Linked DNA regions of Rhinolophus ferrumequinum. The protein of the gene in region 3 interacts with the protein of the main gene of each other region in a biochemical or structural test. Links are inferred from orthologs where the notes say so. Each region holds a gene or a part of one and is shown on either strand. Other genes may lie near its edges. The genes, in order: CSN2, MAPK12 and HTRA2.

Region 1 (7,932 bases), on a different chromosome or scaffold from region 3:
AATTTTCTCTGAATAAAAATATCTTACCTCACTGGATACACTGAATTCTACATTCTGTAAAGAAAAAGAAAAACAAAAACAGAAAAACACCATTTTGGTTTCCATAGCTTGCTCATTAGTAAACATTTTTCCTCCTTGTTACCTTTTTAATGCAGAGCTATCTCGTTCACAAATTTAAGAAATATATTTTTTATTTATGTTATTTATGTTAATGTCTTTTGTTAGAGCCTTTAAAGGTAATCGTTTTTATGTCTTTTATATTTGGTGACTCTAATGGTATATTTTAATTTTACCTGAATGAAGAACAATTTTTTTAAGGGTAACAGAAAAGAAGTTATTTTAATTTGTATTAAATAGTTATATTATGATTAAAAACATGTTTATGATTATGATTATGGTCTGATATTCCATCCTCTGGATGTCTTTGGATAGACACAGGTAGGATTTGGCCTCGTGCCCTAGGGTAAGAGGTACGTAAGTTTCATCACGAGAATAAGATATATTTATCTAGGCTACACATTTATGCAATTGTACTTGTGCAATATTTTATTTTGTTGTTTTCATTTTCATATTTGTTTCTTCTTGTTCTGTCTGTTGCTTATTGATTCGTTCATTTTTCCATTAGTGGCACAGGTGTAGAAAGCATTTAACCCAGATTTGTGTCTTTATAGGACACTGTTGAAATAGTGGGTAAATATAAATGATTTTCTTAGAAGTAAAAAAAAAAAAAAAAAAAAAAAGCTGTTAAAATTCTGCTTTATTTGTACACTTAAAATGTTAGTGATGTCGTTCTCTACACATGGACAGATAGTCCATATGTTAAATATATAGAGATTTTCTTACCTCCCTACCAAGAGCAAGGGCCACCAGGCAGGCAAGGATGAGGACCTTCATGGCTATCAAGTCCTGTGAATGGGAAAATGAGGGAATGGTAATATAATATAGTGGTCAATCTAATATTTTTTATTTAGGCAGGGCTACTTTTCTTTTAAAGAATCCAAAAATAATATAAAATTAAAATGTCTGCATTTTAGAAGAAAACACTAATAGGAGTTTACCATATAACCAAGGTCAAAATCTACTATGGCTCTTTACTCTTACATATCAATTTCATACTTCACTGGCCGCCATTCAGATTTTTTCAGTTATCAACCCTATCCCATCTCACATTTTTTCATCTCATTCACTGTACTATGAGGTTTTGTTTTTTTAAAAGGCCAGAAAGAACTTATAAATATTTGCAGAAAGCTTTATCAATTGATTCATTTATTCAAAAGTGAGTATTTACTTAGCACCCTTTATTGCCAGATGCTGTCTAGGTGCTAGGATTATAGCGGAGAACAAAATATTAAGGTCTCAGCCCTGGTGAGTCCTCAGTTCTATTGGGAAGAGACTGATCAAAGAAAATGTATACATAGAAGAAGATCCTATTTTACTTTTACCTTTCTGTTACAGTTTCCATGATTATTTGGTTTAAACATATCTCTTTATTTCCAATAAGACAGATTATTATTTGAGCATTTCTCTTATTTGCTCCATTTATCCAGATGCTTTTGTGAACTGATTTGTTTGTTCTTTTTTTCTCTATTTATACCCACTACACAGTCTTCATCGGCACACACCTAATGATGTCTCTTCTCCTTTGTGCCATATAACTTTAGAGACCATACATGATGGCTCTTCTTTTCTCTCTGATCTCTTAATGATTTACCCAAGGATCAGGTTCTCTTGCCCAGTCCCCACTCCAGGCTACCACTTCTTGTAGCATAACATAAAATATATGTTAACAGCTTTGACCAAAAGGTACCAAATGGTTCATTTTTTAAAATTCCTATAATGTTTATGTCCCCAATATCCCTTGACATACAATCTTTAATCCCAAATTTTTAAACTAAATTTCTGAACTAAAAATGTTTCATGAAAAAAGTCCCTAATTCACCTGCAAAATGTTCTTTCCAATATTTGAAAGCTGAAAATAATTTTCTTTATCAGGGAAGAAATATATTTTTCTAGATTTTTCTCATGGGTGCAATATAATTCTTTATTAATTTTACTTTGCTTAACACCTCCATAAATTTCAAAATAATTTTTCATTGTCAGGTTTAAAAGAAGACTATGTTACACTATTAGACATTATAATGGGTAGGAAAGATTCTATTGTATTTTCTATGTTTTATAATTAGCGTTTTATATACCAATTTTAAAGCCAGAACTATGTTATTGAATAATATATTCTAAGGTACTCTTCCCTTCAAATCTTTTTCCTTTGTTTTTGTTTCCAAGTCATCCCTGTCTCTTCTAGAATATTTTTATACAGCAAAATACTTTGTTCCTTTTTAACAATTCTGTATTGCGTGTTCATTTTAATATTATTTTGAAATATTACATATCAAACAATAAAGTGAGATGTTGCAATTTGTAAACAAATTTGATCAAATTTTTGTTTACAAATTTGATGCATTTTGTAAACAAATTCTAAGAAAAATTACTCATAAACAGTTCAAGTAGTGCCTGTACCCAAACAACTCCCACAATTTCTTAACTCAATATGCTACCTCTATAAGCTACCTTGGATAAAGCTTTCCCAATAATTATTCATATCCCATATAATAATTTAAATATATTTAGTTTTATGATTGTGGTATATTTAATTAAATTGGAAGACATTTAATTCAGGAAATTGATCTTTTAATATAGTCTGTTAACTAGCCTTGTACTAAAAAAAAACTGTAACCGCTATTACTACATTTTCTTAGACTCATAAAGCTTATGTGGTCATTATAATTTTTACAAATATTTATAGACACTTCTACTTCTTTAAATCTAAGTGTTGAAAATAATGTGAGTGCTACTTTAAGTACCCTTATTTCAAAACTATACTGAAGCAAATATTTTCTTCAGATATCTCAACCAAGTTTGAAATAAACCTATAGAAGGGATACATCAAATTTATATCTGAAATTCTTACCTTTTATCCAAAGTGGAGGACAAGAAGTGATGGAGGAGCTAAGTGGATGATGGTCTATCCACTTCTGTGGCTGTTTATATACTGTATTTGATGACATGCTAATTTTGTGGTTTGAAATAAAATCAATAGTGAGTTTCAATTCTAAGAAGTTCACAGGATTAGAAAATGATTTCTGCCTAATATCTGTATCCAGAAATTCTGGGAAAAAGTTTAACAAGGGGGAAATTCACATCTGATAAAGGAAATCTGTCCAGGAAACACAACCCTCTAATAACTAAAGACAATTACTGGAGGACACTGACAATCTGGTCCTGTCCCCAAGTTACTGAGGACACATTTAGGTCTCTTAGGCTCTGTTTGAGAATTCTTTGTGAGATATGCAGGAGCTTCACCAAGCAATTTCACGTTAACTAAGCAGTTGCTAGTGTTTTATGCTGCAATGGAGAAACTGACAACATAAATCCATGACACCTTAGTCATGTAAGCCAAATGGCTTAGATCTCAGGGCCATTTCATTTGGAAACAATAAATCATTTACTTAGAACCAATATTTTGTACACGAGAGGAATAACCTTCTTCTGAAATGGAACATCTCAGAAAAGGTATCTGGATGTCTGGTATAGGGAAAATCCTTGGTAAATCTATTATAAAACTTTTGCTAGGTGTCATGGAGACTTAGTTACCTGATAAATATTGGTTACCTATTTTTCTTTCAAGCATGATATTATAATAGCTTTTTTTTAAGTTTGCCAGGCATTATACACTTTTAGATATTATCTTGTTTATTGCCACAAAAACATCATGTGGTTGTTCTCCTCTCCATATTTTTGTTTAAGAAACTGAGACACCAAAAGTTTAAGTAACTTGCCAAAATCATATTGTTTGTTAATGGCAAAATACCATTTAAAACCAGATCTCTCTGATTACATGTGTTTCTATTTGATTTTATGCAATGCCCATGTCTTAACCTCCTGAGATTTTGTTACAAAATTTAGCTATGAATTTAACATTTGGGCTTAAACGTGTAAGATTTGTTATGTCTGGGTTGGAGGAAAGTGGCACGGGTGTGGGAAGAGGAAGCTGGTCTTTCAGAAGTCATTATTTTAGTTGGAACTTAAAAGAATGTGTAGAATTTTGAAAAATGAGTCAATGAGAATAAAGTATCTGGCTGAAGTAAATATAGTGCTTGAAGAGCCAAATACCAACTTTGATGGGTTTTGTGTTTTAAGATACACAGAGATTATATACTATAAGTTACTGTTGTAAGGGTTTGACAGAGTCAGATCATGGATGCTTTTGAAATTTCAGATATGCAATGTGACATAATTCACTGGAAATAGAAAAGATATTGGAGATTTGAAAGAAAGAAGGATTGTAAAATTTCTTGGGTTGTATGTCTTTATGGCAATATCTCACGTAACCTAGTAGAGGAGGTTGTTATATCATGTTATTATACTAGTCTAAGACAAACGTTTTGGTGACCTCAACTGGAGACATGGTGCGGGGCATCTCAGGCAACAGGAAGACAAACTTATTAAAATATGAGAAATGTGAGAAATCGGGGAAATAGATAAACAGAATATGCCTGGGTAATTGAAAAGCAAGACATGGAATAAACCACGATAAGAAACCAAGCTGAAATGAGAAAGAGGATATCTTACACATAGTAAATTTGAAGGTGTCCAGGAGGTATTGTGAATTAAATATGATGCTCAAAGGAGAAGTGCAACTGTATGGATGACTTTTTTTTTAAGACAAAGCAATAAATGAATTTCCCCAGAGGAAAAGTGAGAAGAGAAATTGTCGAAGAATAGAACTCAAGTATACCCTGTGATTCAGGGGCAGCAAAAGCAAATCAGAAAAATATGGAGTATCGAGGAGAAGGCAGTAGAGGGTGATGGGAACGATGGGAGGAAATAGTTAGGAAAAAACAAGTGGAGTCAAGACTGAAAGCGCTACACAGATGTGGAATAAAGTGGAAACAAAGAAGATATTTTGGATTTCTGGAATCATTATCATTGTAACCATTGAGCTATACTCCAATTGGTTCAGAACTAAGGAATGTGGGAGGAATTAAAAGTAGCATTACTCTTCTGAGATTTAAGAAAAGGGGGTAAAGAAACTTATGGAATGGTATCTGTGACTATAGGGACAACCAGGATCACAGAAAGGTAATTTTAGGATAGAGATTTGTAGCTTAAAAGATACAGGTCAAGGGTGAGAAACTGCTGAAACATACCAAAGAGAGGGGAATAAACTCATGGAGCAGGTTCCAGTAGGATCAGGGTCACAGCCAAAAGACTTAGACCTGTACAGACTGTACCAGGTTTTCTGACACAGGAGAAAAGGAGGAGAAGATGAGTAAATATAATACATACTTTGAAATGCAGGGTAGAAAGTTACTTTTCCAGTGAGGTGGAGGATTGGGTTTTCAACTTAGTGAGGGAAGTGTTTATGGGTTTGGGATACTCAAAATAGCGAACATTTTTGTTTAATGTGAAAATAAAGATGAGTAACAAGATCCACAGTAGTAACTAATAACTAGGTGAGAGTAGACCTCAGATTATTTTCCTTATCCAAGTAGATTTATGGCAAGATAGTGGCAGTATATCAATAGGTCAAGAGAATTGTTGGGGTGGAGAGAGGGGCTTGAATGTGTTTGTGTTAAAACAACTAGTCATGAAATACTGGTTGAGCTGGGAAGGAAGGTTGAGGTATAAACCAGAAAACTAAAAAATGCTTGAGGGACTAGAGATCGGAAAAAAGACAAAAACCAGGCCTAATGAGATTGGTCAATCTCAAGAAATAGAGATTTGAGCTTTTTATCAGATGGGAATTTCAGCATCAGAGAAGAAGAGAATTTCTGGATGATAACTTGATCCAAAGAATAGTCATGCATGCAGAACGCTGAAGATAGGTGAACATGAAGGTTGTTGACAGTAAACAGTGAAATATATTCCACACTAAATGCTATGTTTGCCAGGCATTTTTCCCGTTGCCAAGAAAGCAACAACAAATAAAAAGGCATAGTTCCTGTCCTTGAGAAGATGAAAACCAAATATGAAAACCTACTTGTTGTGAAATGCAATACATATTTTAATAAAGCTGTGATAAGGGGCAATAGGCACAAAGGAAATACCTAGTTCATTTTAGTTGATGGATAGGGGAGGCAAGAGGATCTTCAGGAAGCCCTGAGTCCTGAGAATGACCTTGAGGCCAGAAGAAGAAGTGTTTGACCTGAGGAGGGGAGAGAATTATAACTTAAAAGGAAAGGAAGAAGAGTGTTTTGGATATGAGAAACAAGTAACCACAACTAAATCAAGGAGTGAATCAGGGTCATGAAGTTCAAGGAAGGGAGTAGATGGAATGAGACTAGAGAAAGAGCAAGGCATGCTGTGCTCCTTAGGAACATGAATTTTATTCTGTGGATAGTGGGGATTTGTTGAAGGGTTTTAGGAAGGAGAGTGACATTTAGAGAGTGACTACTTCTGTAGAACAAATGATAGCAGTGCCCGTTAATAAAACGGGACTGTTCAAGTTTGGGCTCCTAATTTTGTAGTGAGTTCAATGTTTATCAGCTAATGTTCATAGAAGAACAGAAGACGGAAGGAAGAAAAGAAAGTGAAGCCCAGAGAAGAACAGGATCTTGCCCAAAGTACCCCAATAGTCGGAGTCAGGCCTCAAAAGTACTTAATATGTGCCTATTTACAAAAGCAGTCTTCAAGTTCTTTGTCTCTTTAGTGATCGATGTTCGTACATGTAATTGGCTGATTGTGTTTCACATTACTCATTTTCACAATGTTCTTTTCTTCTGTTCACTACCTGTAATAGATATATTCAGGACTTAAGCACAGGTAGATGCCCTTCCAAAGTAAGTAGGTTAAGTAAAATATTGGCATAATTGATGATTTTCCTTCATAATATCACTTGCATTCATATCATGCTAAATGTATGAGGGCAGAGTACACTCCTAATTGTCATATATTTTATATTGCTTAGAAAGCCCAAGTCAGTGTCTATTGTGAATTTGAACTATTCAACTAATATTTATTCTAAGACTATGTTCGTATTGAGCAAGGTGGAAGCCATGAAAAGAAATGATGAAATAACCCTCGTGGCATAGGTCCAACTGAAAAGGCCATGTCTGCCCTGTGCACCCTATGTATTAGCTTTGGTTCCCAAGAGCACAGACAAAAATGTGTGATTTCTAAGAAAAGAAATACAAAAGCAAGCATGCCCTACCCATTCAATATTTCCTTTTCATTTTATCAGCAAAACGCCTTACATACTGTGCAATAAATACAGCATTTTCTTGTGACTCTTTTCCACGAATTTTGAATTACAGTAATCAGTATACTTATGGACTTATTTGGGTCGGAAATGTATGCAAAACCTAGATCAAGGAAATCATGAACAATACACTAGAGAAAAAGGTTTATCCAATAAAAAATTGAAAAGCCAGAGATTTAAGTAACACCAGGTGCCATTGGCCACATAAGCATCAGAACACAATCATAAGTAAGGGTCAAGGTTCCATGTGGGCAACCCAAGCTCTCCCGATGTGTAACTTGTGTTGCCATTTTATAAGGAAAATAAGAATTTCATCTATTGAAATTTTATAAGACACCTAGGTGAGGAACAAAATATAATCAAAGCAACATGTTCTAGGACTCTTTGTCATAAATATAATTTATTCCCCAAGCTCTTTCCCATATTGGGTGACATATCTGAAATATTCAGGCATGAGATTTGGTAGAAGTGCAAAGGTAATAGCTGAAGCCTGTTAATAATACCCTCAAGAAAGAAAGCAGATAGAAAAGCAAGATCAAGAGTACACTAAAGGGAACAAAAATGTTCAGAAAATAAGAACTGTAAGAAACTCCAAATATCATCCATATGGTGTTTTAAAGATGTTTGTAGATGAGGAAACTGAAGAAGTGAGAATTTGCATTATTTGCTCAGGA
Region 2 (6,919 bases), on a different chromosome or scaffold from region 3:
CCTGCAGCTGTCCCCATCGCTCCCCACTGTGCGCAGGGCCTGGCTCTACCTACTGGCAGCACTGACGTGGCCCTGGCACACCTGCCAGGCTATTTTGGGACAGTGACAGCCGGGATCCTCAGGGGAGGGGCGGCCCCCTAATCTGGATCAGCTCCCAGCCGTCCAAGGAGCTCCAGTTCCTTGGCCCTTCCTCCCCTTCTTCCTGTCCCCATTGAAGACCTAGGACCAGGATGGGGACAGCCTCCCAGGGGAGAGCAAACATCCGGCAGGTACTTCTCAGGGCTGTGCCTCTGCTGGAGAGGCCCAGGCAGGCAGCACTATGACCAAACCAACAGTCAGACCTGGTCCTGCAGACCCCTGGTCAGGACTGAGGGACAGCAGACAGGTAATGTGACAATGGGAGCCCAGGGCTCAGGGTGACAGGGTGTCCAAGGACCCAGTGAGGCCTGCATATCCGAGTAGCCGAAGGAGCACGCTGGTGAGCCATGGGTGGCAGGGACACCTGGCAGAGGCAATGTGAATGGTAGCGGAGGCAGGATGGAGAACACTTGGAGCATCTGAGAAACATGGTGAGGAAGGCCAGGTGGCCGAGGGCCAGGCCAGGGAGTCACCACGCAGAGATCAGAGGGAGCCTAAGCAAGCCCTCACATGCCAGGTGGAGGTTTGGGTTTGGTCCTACAGCCGCCAAGAAAGGGTTTAAACAGGCATTATGTTGAATGTGGGGACAGACCGGAGTGAGGCGAGAGTGGACATGAGGTGAAGGGACAGCTAGATGACCACCAGGGCCAGAGCCATGAGCAAGCGGGGAGGAGGGAGCAGAGCAGGACACCCAGAGAGGTGAGGCCTGGGGCACTGGGAGAGTGTTTGAGCAAGAAGAGGACAGAGGACAGAGTCCCTGAGATTAAGGGGCCATCAGGTTAATGGAGACTTCTGTGCCTCTGAGGTAGAGATGGCAGCCGGAGTGGGGGGGAGGGGCAGGAGCGGGACATGTGAGTCCCCACCACCACTGCAGTCAGCCTCTCAGAGCCTCAGTGTCCTCCAAGGAAAATGGGCTCACGATAGGCGGCGCCTCCCAGCTTGTGTGCAGGGTGCTCAGGACATGGCAATGTCCAGTTTGGGCAGGTCAGGAGCTCCACAGGGATGGTAAGACCCTTGGCACAATGGGGGCGGCCCCAGCACAGATGACTGAACACAAAGTCCAGAGCCCTTGGGACGGGCAGGATGGGTGGTGGGAGTGTGTGTGCGGGGGGGCGGGGGGGAAAGCCAAATGAAGCCTGGTAGAGGAAGGGGTCAAGGCACAGGCGTGACCAGGATGTAATAAAGCCCAGGCTGCGCTGGTGTCCACCACGAGTGGATGTCACCTGGGAAGAGCCAAGGGTGGTGATGGGAAACTTGGGAGAATGAAGGACCTACCCAAGGGGCTAAGAGGGTAGGCATCAGCCAGAAACCCAGGGGACAAGTTTCCTGGGGACTCCTCATCCCGAGGGGAGGCTGTGGGCTCCAATGACCCAGGAGGGGCCAGACCATATGTCAGGAGCATGATTAGCCAGGGCCTGGGTGCCCAGACCACAAGCCCTCAGACGGCCCAGACTGGGCATGAGGCAGGAGTGGCTTGGGGAGTGGGGGTGGGCAGAGTTCTCATCCCCTGGGGGAAGCAAGGAGAAATCCCATGGCAGAGGAAGGCTCTTAGCAGCCAGCAATGGCACCAGAGAGGCCCATGGCAGACATGTGTGGTGTCCCATGGACAGGTCTGGAAGCATGGGGGTGGGGGACTTTCCCAGGTGGGGGCCCAGGTCCAGCCCTCCACACTGTCCACAAAACCCCAGCCAGAGCTGTGAAGGAAGCATCTGTGTGCTGGCCACTGGCCCAGTGTCCTCCACCACCGGAGACCCCAAGGCTCTGAGGTGACAGAGCCAGGATGCTGACTCCAATTCCATGCCTAGCTCTGCATTCCCAGGGACCCCAGGTCCTGGGGCTGCTGCTCAGGAGATGGACTGGAGCACGGTGAGTTCAGGAGAGCATCTGGGTGAGGCTGCGGGGGTGTCCCTTCCAGGAAAATAGCTCCACAGAATTTGGGGTGAGACCTGGACAATGGCCTCAGCCTGGACAAGCGTCCATCCCCTCACCAGGGCCTGGGCTGCGGAGACAGACGTGACCCCAGGAAGAAGCAGAGGCACCTTCCCAAAGACTGGCCTGGGAGGAGAGGACTAGACCCCAGGGAAGTCTCTCAGAAAGAGGTGGGCTCTGCCCTCACCACCTGCAGCCCCCACCCTTCTCCAGAGGCTGCCCTGACCCCCACCTACGCGGCACCACACAGGGGGTCCGGGTAGGTGGGACCTGGAGTTTTGGGGCAGGAAGACGAGCAGAGGCGATGGACGGGTGTCCAGAGCGGAGGCCCAGCGCGACTCACGTTCTCGTGGCGCATGTGCTTGAGGAGACGCAGCTCTCGATAGGCGCGCTTGGCGAACAGCTCCGATTGGAAGGGCCGGTACAGCTTCTTGATGGCCACTTTGGCGCCTGTGCGGCTGTCCACGGCCGAGCTGCGGGACGCACGGCTTAGCGGGAGGGTCGGGCCAACCCGCCCGGATACCCGCCAACTGGCCGGCCACACGGCCGGCCACCCCGCCCGGCTTGCGCTCACCAGACGGCGCCGTAGGCGCCGGAGCCCACGGGCTGCAGGTCCTGGTACACCACGCGCACCTCCCAGGTGGTCTTGGTCACCTCCTGGCGGTAAAAGCCCCTGCGGGCGGGCGGCGGAGAGCTCATGGCCGGACCGGGTGCCGGCCCCGCCGCAGACCCCTCGGGCGCCGCGCCCGAGCACCGGGCCGGGATCGGCGGGACTCCCTGGGCGAGCGCCCGGGGCCACCGCGCGTTTACTCCGCTCCGGGTTCTTTCCTCCGGTTCGCTTGAGCCGCCGACCCCGGCCCGACCCCAACCTTGCCTGGGTAGCGCCCTGTTCCTCCCCTGCCTGCGGACCAACCGGCCCCAGGGCCGCGCGCACGTGATACCCCCGCCCGCCCTCCAGCCTCTCCGGAAACCCGAGGCGGCGGCCGCCGGGAAGGCGGGAGGGGGTGGTGGGGGGAGCGCCGCCCGCAGCTCAGCCCAACCTCGGACCGGACGCGGCGTCTGAGACCCGCCGCCTCCTCAGTCGGGCTGAACTCCCCCGCCTGCGCGTGGGGTGTCTTAGCAGGGGCCCCGGTCTTACTAGCCCTGTCCCCAGGGCGCTGAGCCCACAGGACTTCTGTCCCCAGCCAGGTCACTGCCCACCCCCCATCCGACCCCCCCCTTAGCTGAGCGCTGTGTTCCCAAAGTCAAATCCCCACCCCCAGGAGGCCCCCTTCCCTGTGCTGATCCGTCCATCCCCCAGTATGGGTGCCCCTTCCCAAGGTGGGTAGTTGGTTCTGCCTCCCGCACTTAGGCTGCATCCCCAACACCCTTCCCGGTGACCACTGACCCCAGGCCTCCCAAACCCTGGAGCTGGAGCGTGTGGACCTGTGCACTGCCAGTGCTCTTTGCTTCTCCTCAGTTTGGCAGGTGGGAGCCTGCTCCAAGCACTTCCAAGTTCCTCTGCCTGCTCCCCCCACACACAGCTTACTGCCCCGTTTGTCCTTCAGAGCCCTGCTCCAGCCTCTCCGTTCGCTGGGGAAGGTGTGCCTGACCCCAGGGGTGAAGCAGGGCCCTACCCTGGCTCTCAGCACCTCGCTACTCCTCCATGGGGCACCATCCTTTCATGAGCCAGGTCACGTCCCCATCCTGGACCAGCCACTTTTGAAGGATAGAGCCCCCAGCCCCTTCCCACATCCTCTCCCAGCCCAGTGACCCAGGTCTGAGAGGGAGCGGGGTTACAGGACCCCGGGGCCCCTGCCCCGCCCTCTGTGCCCAGCCAGCCACCATGAATCAGCAGCTCAAGCCCAGCCAGCCAGCTTTACACCTGGTCTGCCGACTGGCTGGCGATTCTGAGCACTCAGGAGCTGGAGACTAGCCAGTGGGGACAGCCTGGGGTTACTGGAGCCACAACCAACTGTACCCCATGCCCTCATGTCCTGGGCTGCCTGTGGCACTCCACCTGCCTCGGCCAGGAAGCTCCCACCTGGCCCCCTTACTCTCTGGTGCGGCCCAGCAGGGTTCCCATTCAGACCAGACCCCCAGGTGGGGCATCTCAGCCCTGCTGCCATCCCCCACCCCACACACACAAGACTTGGCCCAGCTTGATCTCCAGGTTCCCCAAGATCTGAAGCCCAGTAGTCCTGCTGACCAGGCCCCTAGAGGTCCAACTCCCAGATGGTTTCCACCTCTAAAGCCCAGGGTAAGGACACAGAATGTCCCTGCCGTGGAGACACCCTGCCTGACGCCCATTGGGGCCCAGGCCCTCCCCCACCTGAGCTGCAGTGAGCAGTAGAGGCCAGTAGCTCAGTGTGCATCTGGAGAGCTGAAATGATCCTCTTTCCCCTTAACTAGGAAGGAAGGCTATTTCCTCCACCCCACCCAGCTCCAGGCAGGGCAGGCCTTCGTGCCCGGCCGCCTCCCTGACCACTGAGTGAAGGGGCAGTCTGGATCTGGACCAGGCGCTGAGCCTGTCCAATGAACCCCCAGCAGGGCAGCAGGCTCGGGTGTGGGAGGCCATCACACTCTGCCCCTCAGGGCCCCTGGCTGGGTAAAGCACAGAGGGTGCTGAAGATCTGGGTACCCAAGTGATCTGGCCAGTGCAGGCCTCTTGTGGGTGCAGGCCAGGCCAGGTGGGTGTGTGATGCAGAGACCTGGCCACCCCTTCGGGCAGTGGGGGCAGCAGGGCAGCTCTTGAAGCCTGGGACACAGCTGAACGAGGGGGAACTTCCTTTATTGCGAGAGCCTGGTGCGTGCCCTTGACACTCAGACCTCCCTGGGTCCTGCGAGGTCACCACCTGACAGCACCATCTGACACAGAAGTCCCTCGAGGGAGGACCCACAGCCCCAATGCGTTTGGAGCAGGGTCCTGTCCCAGAGGTGACTAGGTCAGCTCCATTCTGGCGGGAAGGATGAGGGCCGACCCGCAGACCAGAGCACCTCAGCTCTGAGAACAGGCAGAGGTGTCTTCATCAGCTCTGGGCCAAGGTCCAGGGTCCGAGTCCAGGTCCACCTCGATGTGTGCCAGCCCCCTTAGCGTCCCCCCGGCCCCTCCCGTGCTCGCTAGCTCCCCAGCTGGCACCGTGCCCTCATGCCTCAGAAACTCAAGGAGAACGCCCCAGCTTTTGCTAGCATGGCTGCACCTTGCTCACCTGAGCCCCTCACAGGGTGCACAGCAGGATCTCAGCAAATCCCCCATGACATCAGAAACTGGGGGGAGGCAAATATAGCCACCCCAACTTGAGCCTCCAGCTGGTCATGGCCACTAGCCCTCAGGCACCCACAGACTCACACATGCCTGCACACACCTTGACATGTAAATACCAGGACACACATTAGTGCATTTGTACCACACAGCACAGGGAAACACGACTCCAGGCGGATTTTCTGATTCGACACTTGGTGGCTGTCCCTGCCCTGACACCCTCCAGGGGAGACCCTGCCCAGCAACGACGGCTTTGGATCTCAGCATTTCCCAGGCTGAGCAGCTCTGACCACTGAGACCCCTCCTCTTTTGAGTCTTCAGAGTACCCTGACTCCAATGCACCACCCCCTAAAGGTAACCCACGGACTGAGGAGACCTGGAGACAGACACACTCCCCAGGGGGATTCCCTAGGCATCCAGGCCCCCCCACAGTGAGGCTCCAAGGGAGGGGGCAGGAGGACCAAGGAGGGCCGGCATGCTCGGCCCAGACTCCTGCACCCACGGCTGGCACACATGCAGCATCCCACCTGGAGCATCGTGCTGACCAGGGGTCCCAGGCCACGGGTCAAGGCTGCCAGCCACAGTGGTGCTGGGAGGCACCCCTGTGGGAACCCGGCAGGCTGAGGAAGGGGGGCAGGCAGGTGCAGTCCCCTCCTTGAGTTCCAGTGTGGCTGGCCGGCAGTGTTCCTGTCACTGCTCAATCTCCAGACTGCCAGACGGCTGCTGTGGTGGCTCTGGGGGCTTAAAGCTGAGGACTTCCTGGTAGGTGAGCTCTGGAGGGGAGTGAGGGGAAAGCTGAACTCATGCTTCCAGCAGCTCAGCACTGCGCATCTGCTTGTCTGGTGCCAGTCACCCAGCCAGGCCCACCACCCTCAGTCCACGGGCCTTCCAGAGCCTGCCCCATGCTTCCCCGGCCTCTTCTGGACACACCAACCCCATCTCTAACCGCCCCACCCCAGAGCTGGGGGCCACGTTGTGCCCCTCCCAGACCACCCTGAGGAGCTAAGGCACTTCCCGCACAGGCCTCCACGGGAAGGCAGCCCTCAGGCCCTGGGTTTCACCTCTCCCACCCCCGCCCGGCCCCCCTGCCCACCCTTCCACTCCTCCACAGTGCGGTCCTTTGCTTCAACGCTTTCATCGTAGGGCTCGGCCTCGGGCTCATCATCCGGGTCATGGTACTGGCTGAAGTAGGCGTGGGCCAGGGCATCGGCTGCACTGACCCTCTGGTCACTGTCCAGCACCAGCATCCTTCCCAGGAGGTCCACAGCTGCAGAGTGGTCAGGGGAAGGCAGGGGCTGGAGGGCAGCTCTGCATCCAGGGCCAGACGTGGAGCCCAGCCCAGACCCAGGGCCCATCCTCACCCAGGGGGTTGGCTCCACAGAAGATGCTCCTGAGGTCCTTCTGGGGCATGGGGGGCAGGGACTGGATGTATGTCCGGGCCTGTGGGCACATGGAAGGGCCTGAGGGGGCTGCTCACACCCTATTTACCCTGGCCCCAAACTAGGCAGGGGCTCGTTGAGAGAAAGCCCCACTCTCATGCAGTCCAACAGGCCTGGGCAGGGACCTGCATGGAGCAGAGACCACCTCCTTTGCCTCTGGTGGCTCCAGCAT
Region 3 (7,750 bases):
GGGTAGGGAAGGACAATCAGTCAGCGAGACACAGGACTTCAGTCAGAAGTGCTAGGGGAGCTATGGCCAGTTTAATGTCTTCTTTCTGGGGGGAGTGTCCTGGTCCTTTACCACCCTGGGGCCAGCCTTAACAGACTCCCTTTGCCCACCTCCCCCATAATCCCTGGCAGCCCAATCCCCGCTTGCCAGGGAAGGGCCAGTTCCCTGGCCCCTCCCTCCTGTCTACTCCCAGAATCCCCCCCCCCCACCTGGGTGCTCTTGCCAGAGCCAGGCTCTCCAGACACCAGTACCACTCCACTGGGGCTACTCTCCAATTGCTCCAAGAAGATAAAGCGAGCAGCCCAGATAGGCAAGGCTCGGCGCTGCTCAAGAAGCTCGTAGTAGTGGGAAGAGAAGGGGAGCCCGTCAAAAGGGTTCACAGCCAGTTCAGACTCCCCAGGGCTCAGGCCAGACTCTTCTGCCAGCCTGAGAAGCTGAGAGGCCATGGTGGCTGACTGGCAGGACCTACAGAAGGTGGGGTAGTCATTAAAACCTTGTACCATCTTACCACCTCAGCCCTGATCCCTAATGTGTACCCTCAGCTGGTAATGCACTGGAATCCATTCTTTCCAGCATTTCTTGCCTGCCAGGAAACGGTGGAGAATTGAGTCTCCAAGTAAGGGACTATCAAAAGGGACTATTAACCTGTAGCCAGGTAGTACAAATCCTGGGTCTCTCTGTGAATCTCTGTAATTCAGCGGCAACAGGAGTTATGTGAGACCCGTGGGAAGGTCCCTGGGGGTGGGAGGGAATAGGAAAAGGAATAAGGGGCTGGAATTGAGGAGCAGGGCCACAAGGATCCTGGATTCAAACCTGCTTGCAGCTCTGAGACGTGTCCCGATGGCAGCCAGTTCCAGACCCGCCCAGCCAGTTCCCACCAACCTTGACCAGCGCTAAGTACAAAGGTAAGTTCCGGCCCCACCCTGGGGCTTGGCTCAAACATAATTCTTAAGACTGGTTCTGGGGTGGAACCATTTGCTCCACCTTATTTAACCTAGTCAGGAGCCTATAGAAAACAGGCTCCAGCAACGACTGAGCATGTGTTAACTTTACAGACACCATGTACTGTAAAAGGCATCCTGGGACGTGTAGTTTTGCTGCTATTTCTGCACAAACCTGGGCTGAACACCCCAGTTAGGTCCAGTTGCTGCTTGGTCTTCAGTTGTTACACTTCCTTAATATCACTCATTTTGACACGAGGAGGTGATTTCAGACAGTTCCATTCTGACCATCCCCCCACAGTCCTACAAGGACCACCTTATCCCCCCCCCCACCAAGGGAAAAGGAACGTGCTCAGGAGGCTTTTGAGACCCAGAGAGGCAACAGAGACCTTGAGTGAAAACCCTGAATTTAATGTGACACTGGGGGCAGGCCCATCCCTCCCTTTCTACCACCCACCCATCAGGCCTGTTGTGAGTTGGGTGAGGGCTGCCCCCAGTCTCCGTCCTGCGGCTCTGGGTACCATCCTGTGCTCAGTCAGCCTCCTGGGCCTGTCTCTCTGTGAATCTCCTGTGGGACATAGGGAGAAGACATTGTGTGGGCTTTGTCATAGTAGTTCTGTAATTAGCTTCCTTCTCCAACCTGCCCCTTCCTACCCATTGTCCTCGAAGCCCCTCACCTTCTTGCGTATTCGTATAGTGCTTGTTTGCGCTCCTGTAGGCTCTCCTGCCGGGCCCAGGAGGATTTGGCAAATGTTAGGGCTGTGGGCTGAGGGGTCACCGGGCCAGAGCTGGGAAACTGAGGTGATCACAATGTCAGAGGGCTTGCGAAGTCATCATCATTAAACACGCATCGAATGCCTACTTTGCAAGAGAGGCACTGGGCTAGGGTCTCAGGATCAAAAAAGAGACATCAGGGATAGGGAGTATGTAGAGTGCCCCATCCCACCCCAAGTCTTGGATCGGACCATTTCCTGGGTCTCACCTGGGGGGCAGAGGCTGCGGGATGGGACTGGGTCCCCTCAGTGATGTCTTCAGGCATGAAAGCTACAGCCCCCTCAAGCAGATTGGTGATGGTCAAGTCTACGCAGCCAGTCCTGGCTGGGGAGAAGGGAAGGAGGAAAGGGGATCTGTTGCGCTGTTCATCCTTTTCCCTCACCACCCATTTGTCCTCTCTGTCCCTGTCTTCTTTTGTGAGGCTACCCTTTCCCATACCCAGGTCTCTCTGGATGACGACCAGTGGCACATGGGGTAAAACCTCCTTGACTCTCTGAGCCAGAGTTGCCAGCTGCACATCAGGAGAAGGGCCCGGGGAGGGAGGGAAAGAAGATTGGGCTGCAAAAAAGAAATCCGAAATATGGTGAATGGAGAATGAGTAGGAAGGAGAGTCTGACTAGTACAGGAATAGGGAAGAAATCATAATAGGCTGGGAAAAAAACGAAAAGCTTTGTGTACAGCGACCACACACCTGACTGGGGGCGCAATCTAGGATGTCTTTGCCGCTTCATGTGCTCTGCTTTGTCTGCTGGAGTGAGTCGTGTTCCTGTCTGGCCCAATTTTTTGGCCACCAGCTAGGAAGAATTGGAAGGTTGGAAATGTCAAGGTTTCAAGCCTTCCTCCCCGTCTAAGGAGAGACCCCACCTCCAGCCTGCTTCTGTATGCTACCACCTGTTGTACACGGAAGGCAAACTCCTCATTCCCCTCTCCCAGCTGGCGATGAACAGGACGGAGCCACCTGAAAAAAACAATCAGGGCTATGTTGAGGGCAGCTGGGGCAGTCACCCTCTTCCCCACTTTGATTCCTCTTTTCATGGAACTATGGTGGTGAGGGTGGGGAGAGAATAAATACTTTGTACTGCCTCTGTGTTGGAAACTTGATATTAAAAAGATCTGCAAATGGATAGGGCAGAGGCAACTACTTCCTTGATCTTGAGGTGAGCTTTTCCCAGCCACCAAAAAGTGAAGACAATTAATACCTTACTTGATACACCGTGAAAGGAACAAACAGTGACCACAGCAGTTCTGAGACCCAGGAGGCATCTGACACTGTCTGAGGGGAAAGCACGAAGTGAGGTCTAAGTCAGGCCGGGACTGGGAAGCTTCATCCCAAAGCCCCGGGGAGTCCCTATCCAAGACACACTCACCACAGAGACTAGAGGTCTCTGGACTTGCAGGGTAAGAGGCTGTACCACATCCTGGATAGAAAATGGCCAGGAACTAGAAGAGGGAAGAGAGAATAGGACGGGATTTCAGCCAGTCCAGTTAGTAGCTCATATCTAACTTAAAACAGAAAACTGTCAAACTGTGTACCAAGTAGATGAATGAGGAATATAGGGATTCAGGGGAAGGAACCAAAAGTGGACAGAAAGGAACTAGAAATGGAGGGGGTAGGGCTGAAGAAGTGTGAAAAACCCAAGGGCCCCCCACGCCTGACCACCTACCCAGTCAGAGTCAAATACCTGTGTTCGTTCACCCACCTGAAGCGCAGGAGCCCCTCCCGGCCATTGGTGGCCTCTTCCTCTGGGAATAGCAGCAGAGGGGTAGGGGGAAGCCTCGTGGAAGCACAGAATCTCTTGAGTGACTCCACCAACTCCCCCCGCCCATCCATCTCCATGAAGCCCCGAGACCAGCATACAAAGCTGGGAGGACTATTGAGTAGAGGCTGGGAACAGGGAAGAGAGAAAGCAAGAAGAATGTTGGGAAGTGATAAAAACTGACATCTGGGGTAGAGAAGCGGGGTTAGCGTTAAGGCGCAGTATCTCGTGGTCCCCAAGGGAAGCCCGGGCGGGCAGAGGGAAGCCTTATGTTGGGCCCCAGGGAACTGCCCGTGGCACTCTCGGCTTCGCCCCCCACTCACGGTACTACAGCTGGTGAGCAGGTTGACTATGTTGTGGTCGAAAGGTGTCACGTGGTTGGAAATGAGGACCCTGACGCGGTGATCCCGGAGTTCGGAGTCCTCCTGCCGGGCCACGAGCCCTAGCACCGCACACATGGTCCGTACCACGAACCTGGGGACGCAGGCAGTGCTGACTGCACGGCCGTCGGCCCGGCCCAGCCTTGACCCTCCCCGAGCTCCCGGGTCGGAACCTGCGAAGGACGCTGTCTGGCAGCGCGCAGCTGACCAGGAAGACGTGGATCCCAAGAAAGAGGCGCAGGACAAGGAGACAGAACCCGACGGGCGCGTAGAGCAGCAGCGCTAGGAGCAGGAAGCCGTCACCCGGGAGCCTGGGGGCAAGAGGTGGGGTGATCGGGCGGCCGAAGGCCGAGTGGACGCGGGAGCCGGCCTCTTCCCGCCGGGAGTCTTACCGGTGCGAGTCAAAGAGCCGCTCCGGCCCCGGTGCCGGGGGAGGTTCCATCGCGGCTGCTTTAGGGGTGTTTGGTCACTGCCGCCATCTTCGTGCCCCGCCGCAGGGGCTTCTGGGAAGGAGGAGTCTTCCGGCGTGGGCCTCGGGTGCCAGGACCCGAAATCCTGAGGCGCCCCGGAAGGGCTAGCGGCCCCAGCATGCCTCGCGGGCCCTTGGGACACCTCAGTGCTCGCGTCCCTCAGAGACCACAATTCCCGGCATTCACGGGGCGGGGGCGGAGTCGGCCTCCCGGAATAATCCGGGTCCCGGCGTGCACTTCTAGAGGACTTCAGGTACCAGCGTGCCACGCGTCCCACGGTCCGCCAGCTCACGTCCATCCAGGGCGCCGCCTCTGTGTAGGGCGGGCGAGGAGGCAGCCGAGGCGGAGCTGATGGCTGCACTGAGGGCGGGGCGGGGTGCAGGCTGGAGACTCTGGGGATGGCGGGCTTTGGGGGGGGTTCGCTGGGGGAAGGGACCCCTGTTGACCCCTGACCTCCGGGCCCTACTGATGTCAGGAACTCCTGATCCTCGGGCCCTAATGACTTATGGGACTTCCAGGCTCCGGGTCCGGTTGTCTGTAGGGGTCCCTGGACCACGGACATGCCTGACGTCCGGGATTTCGGATTCCCGAGCACGGCTGACTGCGGGGACCCCAAGTCCCCAGACCCGGGAGAACTCAGGGAACCCTGGAGCCCGTCCGCGCGTGTGGCTAGCGGTGGCACTGGGCGCTGGAGGAGCAGTGCTGCTGTTGTTGTGGGGCGGGGGTCGGGGTTCCCCGGCTGTCCTTGCCTCTGTCCTTGGCTCGCCACCCACCTCTCCCCGGAGCCAGTACAACTTCATCGCAGACGTGGTGGAGAAGACGGCACCTGCCGTGGTTTATATCGAGATCTTGGGCCGGTAACGGTGGGGTAGTTCTGGAGGCACCGAAGCCGCGGGCAAGAGGGCGGGCGAGCAGGAGGGGTACGAGCTCCTCACCGTGCCTTCCCCCTATCCCAGGCACCCTTTCTCAGGCCGCGAAGTGCCTATCTCGAATGGCTCAGGATTCGTGGTGGCTGCTGACGGGCTCATCGTTACCAACGCCCATGTAGTAGCTGATCGGCGCCGAGTCCGTGTGAGGCTGCCTAGCGGCGACACGTATGAGGCCATGGTCACAGCTGTGGATCCCGTGGCAGACATCGCCACGCTGAGGATTCAGACCAAGGTGGGGATCCGAGCAGGCCGGGTCTGGTTGGGGCTGTTTGCTTGCATCGCCAGGTGACAGGTCCCTTGTACCCATTCTCCCGTAGGAACCTCTCCCCACACTGCCCCTGGGACGCTCAGCGGATGTCCGGCAAGGGGAGTTTGTTGTTGCCATGGGAAGTCCGTTTGCACTGCAGAACACGATCACATCTGGCATTGTCAGCTCTGCTCAGCGTCCAGCCAGAGACCTAGGCCTCCCCCAAACCAATGTGGAATACATCCAGACTGATGCAGCTATTGATGTGCGTCCTGATATGAGAGAATTGACAGTCTAGGTTGGGGGAGGGGTATAGACTGTGTGGTGCAGGCACCAAGTGGGAGAGACGGTGGATGAGCCTATATATTCAGGTTGAGCTACAAAAATGTGGCCACTCATTCATAGGCTGGGAAAAGAATTTGGAGAAAATGCCTACATCCTGGTTATGCCCCCAGGCATAAGAATCCCTGGATCTTTTCCATATTTTCTCCTTGTCCTGCAGTTTGGAAATTCTGGAGGTCCCCTGGTTAACTTGGTGAGTGGGTCATCCTTTCCAAGAATCCCTGCCCAGGTCAGTGTGGGTCGGGGTGGGTTTTCCCTAATTCAATGATGTTTGGTCAAGTTTCTGAACAGTCCCTTGTTGGCTACCTCCCAGAACCCAACCAGATCTCCTAAACTCCCCAACACTCCCTGCTACTCTTGTTCAGGTACCCCCATCTCCAACTATTTGTTTGGGCTAGGGAACAGTGGGCTCTGTCCCTGCAGGATGGGGAGGTGATCGGGGTGAATACCATGAAGGTCACAGCTGGAATCTCCTTTGCCATCCCTTCTGATCGCCTTCGAGAGTTTCTGCATCGTGGGGAAAAGAAGAGTGAGCCTGGCTTAAGTTGTGGGAAGGGCATTCATGGGGCCTTGCTGGAGAGGGGTGTATTGGGAGGAGAGGGAGGGGAAGGAAGAATGTAGCTGGGTGGGGCTCATTTTTCTCTTTATCATAGATTCCTGGTTTGGAATCAGTGGGTCCCAGCGCCGATACATTGGGGTGATGATGTTGACCTTGACTCCCAGGTATGAGCTTTAAGGATAATGACACATAGGACCATCAGTGTACTCAGTCGTGTGCATTTGCCACTTCATTTGAGCTTTGTTCTCAATTCTGTGTTTATCTGTGGTGAATTGCCTCACACTTGGAGCTATCCGAAGAGCTGTCCTCTCTTGTCATCTTGACTTTCTCATCACGCTGCATTTTGCACACCTGCCACCAGATTGATTTCATCCTATTACTGCTTTGATTTAAAACCTTCAATCTGTTAACCTGGTGTTTAGGGGCCATTTTCCATTTGTCTCCAATTCAACCTTCCTGACCTGGCTTCTTAACATGAATGTATTCTGTTTCAGCCAACCTGATTTCCTACTCCCAGGTTTTTATTTTTGTTGTTTTTGTTTTATATATTTAAATATCAGACCCATCCTTCTAGGCTCAGCTTCAGTTCTACTCCCTCCTTAAAGCTTCTCTTAGGATTTTAGAATGAGATTCGTGCTATTGATTTAACACTGTGTCATTTGGAATTAGGTAACTTTTGTATACACGTCCCACTTCCTAACTACTAGAAGGCAGAAAATGAATTGACTATCTGGAGTACCTAGTGCATACAATTGTCAGTGTGTTGACGAGAGATTTGAGGTGAACCTGAGATGGAGAGGGCATCTTGGTGTGGATAACAGGGTGGTCTGTGTCTTTCCAGCATCCTTGCTGAACTACAGCTTCGAGAACCAAGCTTTCCTGATGTTCAGCACGGCGTGCTCATCCATAAAGTTATCCTGGACTCCCCTGCACACCGGTGAGGGAGACACTGCACTGAGGTGGGGGGCGGAGACACGCATGTACCCTTGAACTGGGGTATCTATTCCCTCCTTTCTCTCTGTCCACCTTTCGCCATAGGGCTGGTCTGCGGCCGGGCGATGTGATCTTGGCCATTGGGGAGCAGTTGGTACAAAATGCTGAAGATATTTATGAAGCTGTTCGAACCCAATCCCAGCTGGCAGTGCGGATCCGGCGGGGACCGGAAACATTGACCTTATATGTGACCCCTGAAGTCACAGAATGAATGGATCAGCAAGAGTATTAGGCTGTTGCTCTGATTTCCACTTTGCTTTCTTGGCCTAGGCTCTGAGGGCACCTGGACAGAGGATTAAATGAACCAGTGTGGGGGGCA

What was found.
Region 1: of the proteins of HTRA2 (region 3) and CSN2, one has a biochemical effect on the other in vitro, tested with the Homo sapiens proteins (2 studies listed by BioGRID). The link is inferred for Rhinolophus ferrumequinum from reciprocal best matches to the Homo sapiens genes HTRA2 and CSN2.
Region 2: of the proteins of HTRA2 (region 3) and MAPK12, one has a biochemical effect on the other in vitro, tested with the Homo sapiens proteins (2 studies listed by BioGRID and IntAct, with this or other methods). The link is inferred for Rhinolophus ferrumequinum from reciprocal best matches to the Homo sapiens genes HTRA2 and MAPK12.

The regions. Positions count from the first base shown.
Region 1 is NC_046288.1:28,004,982-28,012,913, forward strand, and holds the start of CSN2 (beta-casein), read right to left. Parts: upstream 3,022-7,932; 5' UTR 2,969-3,021; intron 907-2,968; 5' UTR 895-906; coding exon 844-894; intron 55-843; coding exon 28-54; intron 1-27. UniProt on the Homo sapiens protein: Important role in determination of the surface properties of the casein micelles.
Region 2 is NC_046293.1:440,119-447,037, reverse strand, and holds the start of MAPK12 (mitogen-activated protein kinase 12), read right to left. Parts: upstream 3,077-6,919; 5' UTR 2,767-3,076; coding exon 2,642-2,766; intron 2,541-2,641; coding exon 2,411-2,540; intron 1-2,410. Other genes in the region: MAPK11 (mitogen-activated protein kinase 11), read right to left, coding at 5,999-6,081, 6,402-6,575, 6,670-6,748. UniProt on the Homo sapiens protein: Serine/threonine kinase which acts as an essential component of the MAP kinase signal transduction pathway.
Region 3 is NC_046296.1:17,529,257-17,537,006, reverse strand, and holds HTRA2 (serine protease HTRA2, mitochondrial), read left to right. Parts: upstream 1-4,690; 5' UTR 4,691-4,712; coding exon 4,713-5,218; intron 5,219-5,317; coding exon 5,318-5,522; intron 5,523-5,607; coding exon 5,608-5,802; intron 5,803-6,039; coding exon 6,040-6,108; intron 6,109-6,302; coding exon 6,303-6,408; intron 6,409-6,532; coding exon 6,533-6,602; intron 6,603-7,279; coding exon 7,280-7,375; intron 7,376-7,476; coding exon 7,477-7,642; 3' UTR 7,643-7,674; downstream 7,675-7,750. Other genes in the region: ATP-dependent RNA helicase DQX1, read right to left, coding at 249-542; lipid droplet-regulating VLDL assembly factor AUP1, read right to left, coding at 1,512-1,548, 1,658-1,776, 1,963-2,078, 2,193-2,312, 2,446-2,548, 2,646-2,712, 2,954-3,027, 3,122-3,194 and 3 more.